2 linked regions of the Drosophila melanogaster genome follow. The protein of the gene in region 1 binds, or shares a complex with, the protein of each later gene. Each region holds a gene or a part of one and is shown on either strand. Other genes may lie near its edges.

Region 1 (2,967 bases):
AACGCTCCTGCGAGGAGCAGACGAGTCGGTGGCCATGGGCATCAACACATCCAACGTTTCGCTGAGTCTGACGCGTCTGGAGGAGCAGCGCAGTGCCGTGGACGTGTACAATGATTTTAAGGGTTTCCAGCGAAAGCTGGCCAAGATCTACGACGAGGCAGCCGCTCTGGACACCACAGAATCCATATACAAGCAGAAGCTGACGCAGCTCCATGGATTTGCGCAGCAGCTGGAAAAGCTCATGCCAACCGGCGGTGAGTCTCCGCCAGATGCTTTTACATCCGAGCAGCAGGAGAAGCTTCTGACCATAGCCGCCAATATGGAACAGCTCAACTACCTGCGCTCCAACAGCCTCCAGCTGCCCAATCCCAATGAGATACTCGCCACCGGGAGTCTTGCCGCTCGCCTGGAGATGTTCGTAGAGGTGCTTACCTATACGCTTCTCCAAGTCAGCAGCTACAATATGGCCATGATTTGAAAACCTCGCTTAAAGAGCTTTAAATACAAATCAAATGTTTAATTTATTTAAATTATTTTTCAACTATAACATAATAATAAATTCTAAAAATGGATGAGCTAGGGGGAATCCTCGCTGGCATACTGCTCTTCCTGTGAGTTCTTCATCTGGCCCACGGTGTCGTAGAGCGCCACCAGCTTACGCACGGAGCTGCCAAGGTGCTCCACGCGATGCCTGTAGGCCAGGCAGCCCTCCAGAGCGCTGTATGTCTCCTCCCGCTGGTCACTGCTAGACATGAGCAGCTTGAAGTTCTCCAGGATCTTGGACAGGGTCATCTCAGCCTCCGGCCTGAGGTTGTACATCTTCTGGGTCTCCGACAAAGCCACATTCTGACTGAATGCCTTGCTGTTGGACTCGATGTGGAGCAATGTGTTGTTCGACCGCTCCATTATCTCGTCTATCTTAGCCAGCTGGCGGTTCATGGTCTGCCGATTGGCCGCTGAAATTGGAAGCACGGAATAGAACGCGTGTCGGTGGTTTAAAGATATATTTACCCATTCCCGCCAACATTTTGTCCACAGCGTCTGACATTTCGAATATTCTGTTTGTAATGCTAGCAGATTAACGTGACCGTCGCTGCGTATCTAAAATACACAAGGCTTTCTAAAACAATCGAAAGACCAACGTTTCTATCGAAATTTAAATTTAACCGCCAGTACTAAATGACTCGTTTATTTATTTGGATAGTTAATTTATTAGCTGCTATTCCGCAGTTAATTATAGCCCTCGTGTACAATTGCTGACTACAAGTTAATTTAACGTTTGGTTTATTCAGTTGATCAAATTGTATTTGACTTGTTTTCTATTTAAATTTAAGTGTAATCCGTTCAATGGCTTGCATTACAATTACAATTTACTCGTACACATCCTCCTTGTCGGCGACGTACTTAATAATGTCGGCAGGTTTAAGCAGCTTCTCGGCATCAGAGTCGGGGATCTCGAAACCGAACTCGTCCTCCATGGCCATGATGACCTCCACGTGGTCCAAGGAATCCAGTCCCAAGTCGTTGATGAAGTGCGACTCAACGTTGAGCTGTAAATGCGAGCCATTAGCATTGGGTATTCAAAGGTTTCATCAGCTTTGTTCAGTTCTGATTTCTGAGGCGACCATTGCACTGGCAAAGGCAATATGTGGCGTTTACCTTGCTGGGATCGATCTTGTCGTAGAGCTTGAGCACAAGCAAGACGCGCTCATTGATCAGCTTCAGCGAGAGCGGCGGTTTCGCCGAGTATCTGCGCACCAATTGCGTTTGCCAGCGACCACGGCACTCCTGGTTTTTGGCCGGCCCGAGAAAAAAAGGAAGGAAACAAAGACCGGATTAGTGGCGCCATGCAATGGGTACTTTACCTTTTCGGCGGTCACTTTGTCGTAGGCGGAGACAACCTTTAGCACGCGGAACTTGATGTCCTCGATGGTGCTCTTGGCCGAGTAGCTGCGCACACCGAACTTCTGCGAATGTTAATGTCTAGTGAATTTTCGTCTCTATATGAATAATTGCATTGGTAGTTCATCTACGACTTATGGTGCATACAACTTAGCTAATTCTTCAATGAGCAGTGTAAATATATACGCAATTTAAACGAGGGTGGTTCGATGGTGTATGATCAACTGATTAAATACCGCGAAAACTATTGCTTGGATTGGCGTGGAAACATATTTAGATATTTAACAAACTGAAATCACATGTTTTAAAACCGCTACATTTTAAGGTCACTTCTAGAGGATTTTCACTGTAGTACAATCAACCGCACACAAGTGCGAGCACCGGTGTTGCAGGTGTATGTGTGTGTGTGTGCGATAGGGAAACAATCATGTTTTATGCAAAATAATGTGATGCAATCGAATTGGGTGGTTCGACGGCCACATGGCGAGGATCTTCTGTTGCGTTCATGATTGCAAGCACTTAATTGAATGTTTTGAAACTCGTAGATCACGAAACCCCGCCGTTTGCGATGAGGTTAGGTCCTCAACTGCGATTGGGGCTCCTGCAACGGAAGGGACCGCTTTGGACGTTCGCTTACTTGGCTCAACTGGCTGGTCATCGATGGCACGGCGATCCTGTGCATCATCCTGGAGGCCTGTGATTGGATGAGAATGCCGGAGGCGACCCTCCTTGGGGCCAAAGTGGCCGCCAGTCGACTGCAGCTGCGCGCGATCTGTGTGAACGACATCTCGGTTCTCCTGCAACGGAAACGCAGCGGGTTAGTATCGCATCTCTGCAGACGGTGCACGAGTGCAGGTCTCGTATTTTGGGCGATATTTACGCTGAGTTTTCAAGATTATGTAAAAGTGCTGGAGCAAGAAAAAGACAGCAAGGTAGCAGTGTGACCGTATGCGCAATGTACTAAGCTGTTTCTCAACTTACGCAAATAAATACTAAAAATACTTAATACTTGAATAATGAGTAAGTAACTTTCCCAACTATAATTTACAGTTAAATAATTGTTAG
Region 2 (3,179 bases), 1.1 Mb from region 1:
AGTACAAAGCCGCGCAGGAAGCAGCTCGGGTCGCGCATCTGGCCATCTGGAAGTACGGTGACATAACGCAAGATGATGCGCCCGAGTTCCGCTAAAAGATGCCCGGAAACGTGGAGTAGGCCTGTGGCGTGGAGCGCGTTGCTAGCCGAAAAGATTGTCTGCCACATACCCGCCCTTTATATACATAACAACAAGCAAGAACTTAAAGAATATGAAATTACTAATTCTATCTATACACCAATATATATGATACATATACCACATTGGAAATACACAAATACATACATATGAGCAATGGCATGGAAGAACACGGTACACTTTTTGTATGCTTTAAGCAGCTGGCAAATTATTATTTGGTCTTCTAGTTTTCCTATCATGATACTTTAAATAAATATTTGACACAACCTAGCAACAATTGGAACGTTTTTAAAATGCGTACAATAACCAAAATAAGTGCACCCTCTGATTGTGTAGTGTTCCAAGTTGTAAACCTCAACATTCATCTTTAAAATTTGCAGATTTTATGTTTTTGTAAAGTGTTTTGCATTACTGAGTAAATACAATTAAATAATTTTTTAAAAACGAAAGCAATTCACTTCTTTAGCGCTGCTCCAGCGAATCTACCTTCTCGATGACACTTTCAATGCTAAAATCCTTTGGGATCTTAAGGGTTTTTTGCCGGTCCAGTAAGGCCTGTTTTGTTGCAAGCTGTTGGGCGTTTCGCTGCATTACGACGATATCCGGGATGAGCCGCTCTTCCGCAGCAGCATTAAATCTGCAGAAGAATGGTTTTGGTCAGGGATTCAACTATTAAAGGGATTTGTTCACCAATACCTCTCCAACATAACTACGTCCCTAGTCGCCTCCTCGATGGACGAGAGGATGCGCTGCAGCTCTACGCGTTGCTGCACTGTGGTCTGCCGGTTTTCTATGCATTCCCTCTTCTTGGCACAATAGAAGTCGCGCAAGTAGTTCAGATTGATGTCGTGAATGTGCAAAAGTGAATAATATTGGGCGCATTTGTCAAGGAGCGCCAGGTCATCGTCCGAGAAATCGCCCAACTCGACGCTAGCCAGCTTTAACTGGTCATCGAAGTGCTGGCCTAGACGCATCAATGAATTGACTTCCTCTTGGATCTTCAAGTTCTCTGCATCATAAGAATAATTAGTTGTATGCCTAGCGTTTTTTTTAAATAAACTCACGCATTTTTACTGGAGATGACAAGCTATCGATGGTTCCGAAAAAGATACTACCGCTTTGCTCAAAACGCAGGCGTATAGGCAGCCGGCTTAGAAACAATTTAGACTAAGTTGGCAGGACTTTGCTTTTCTTCGCCACTAATCGTATCCAGGTTTCGCATGTCTTTGTCTTCGTAATCCGAATGTGATAATAGGCGCCTTAGGTGCAGATATCGATAGTCTCTACAGTATTTCAGGGCTACCTAGCAAAATGCCACCAATTGCTTTTGTTGAATCGAATTTTAAGAGACAAGCGATTAAAGTAATAAATAATAGAGCTTTTTAATTGTAATGGTTCTATGCCTAATATCATTAAAAATAACACTTAAATTCGTGGTTCGATTACTTGGGCAGTGTGACCGCATCTCGAAAATTGAAAAAGGCCGTTGTCCCAAGAGTATGAAGAAATAGTTATCAATTTTTCGCTAGTTCATAAAATCGATTTGTACTGCTATTTTTCTTTGTTTACTTTCATTGTGCAAATTCGTAAAAGACATTCGTAATATCGTGTTTTCTAACTAACCCAAAGTACTGGTGCTGCGCAAGTACGGATGTATTTATTTGCGTCGGCAAAATGTGAAATAGAATAAATGGCAAATCGATCGATTTTTGACAACGAAGTGGGAAAGTAGCGGTGTCTGGGTGTGTTTGTGTACTGCGACCAGCCAAAGTTTAGACGAATCCTCCAAGGAAGAGGATAGAACAAAACCCTAAAGCCACACTTTTCATCTGCCATGGAGCACACTGCCTCGCTGCCTGGCTACGTCCGCGAGAAGCTCGCCGAACTGGACTTAGAGCTGTCGGAAGGTATACCTATTTGAATAATACACACAAAAATAAAATATTGTTGTTAAAGTGCGGCGACTGAGTTGTAGAAAATCGCGTGAAAACTGTGGCAGACGTAGTCTGGTCTGATTCAAATCATTGGATACTTGTCGCCCCCAAATGGGATTACAAGTGCTGTTCTCGGCTTTTCTTTCGCTGAAAGCTGCCCACATATAGTCGGGGACCGACCAATTAAAAGAAAAGTGTGTGTGTTGTGTTGTGTGGCTTTCAGCATGAATACATGATTCAGTCGCTACTCCACGCTTTTCAAAAAACGACGAGGCCCAGCGGACATATTAATCGTTAAGAAAACAATTCCATCTGCTTTTCTAGGTGACATTACGCAGAAAGGCTACGAAAAGAAAAGGGCGAAGCTGTTGCAGCCGTTCCTAAAGAAGCCAGAAGGTATGTTCGAAAACATTGATATTTGGTCGTTTGGTCGTCACCAGAAAGTTCTTGATCCTTTTGTTGTGAACAGGCGATAAAGTGAAAAGTACGCCGCCACCGCCATACTACAACGTTAAAAATGCCAACAACAGCACCAACCACGGAAACATCAATAACGACGGCGTCATTGTGTCCAGCGAGGGCTACAGTTATGTGACTGAAGTGCCCTCCCTGTCCTCCTCGCAGCAAAGACATTCCAAAAAAATTGACTTCCATCAGCAAGCCGCCATGAGCTTGTCATCGGCACCACAGAGCGGAAATGCTGGGGCTCCTGGCTACGAAAATATGCGACCGCAGGGTGGAGCAGTCGGCGATCCCGGGTATCAGAACACTCGCGAACCAAGTGCTTTTCAGAACCAACAGTCAACTAATAATAGTCAGCATCGTCAACGACGCACACAGCGCAAAGTAACGCACAATGAGAAACGTTATCATTCTGGTTAGTAGAACAAGTTACAGCAACAACATTTTATCTCTGATCATCTGACCCCTAGAAGTACGACAAGAGGCTGTGCAACAGGCCCTTGCAGCTCTTAAGGGACGGCCAAAACCCAGCCTTCCAATGCCATCGAAGCGCACATCTGTATTAAACCGAAGCCCTGGGTGCAATGATGAGCTGGACTCATCGACGGATGACGAATCCATACCCGAGGAGACAATTTCCCCCGA

What was found. The genes of interacting proteins can lie anywhere in the genome.
Region 2: msd1 (region 1) and wac share a complex: the UniProt entries of both Drosophila melanogaster proteins name them as parts of the augmin complex.

The regions. Positions count from the first base shown.
Region 1 is NT_037436.4:1,329,863-1,332,829, reverse strand, and holds msd1 (mitotic spindle density 1), read right to left. Parts: upstream 1,087-2,967; 5' UTR 1,049-1,086; coding exon 1,012-1,048; intron 957-1,011; coding exon 577-956; 3' UTR 504-576; downstream 1-503. Other genes in the region: msd5 (mitotic spindle density 5), read left to right, coding at 1-478; ND-ACP (NADH dehydrogenase (ubiquinone) acyl carrier protein), read right to left, coding at 1,371-1,550, 1,660-1,788, 1,881-1,967, 2,540-2,689. UniProt on the Drosophila melanogaster protein: As part of the augmin complex, plays a role in centrosome-independent generation of spindle microtubules.
Region 2 is NT_037436.4:256,419-259,597, reverse strand, and holds wac (wee augmin), read right to left. Parts: upstream 1,423-3,179; 5' UTR 1,207-1,422; coding exon 1,203-1,206; intron 1,193-1,202; exon of another isoform or gene 1,148-1,192; coding exon 835-1,147; intron 776-834; coding exon 601-775; 3' UTR 501-600; downstream 1-500. Other genes in the region: Tudor-SN (tudor staphylococcal nuclease), read left to right, coding at 1-95; DIP2 (DISCO interacting protein 2), read left to right, coding at 1,973-2,045, 2,397-2,468, 2,542-2,949, 3,005-3,179. UniProt on the Drosophila melanogaster protein: As part of the augmin complex, plays a role in centrosome-independent generation of spindle microtubules.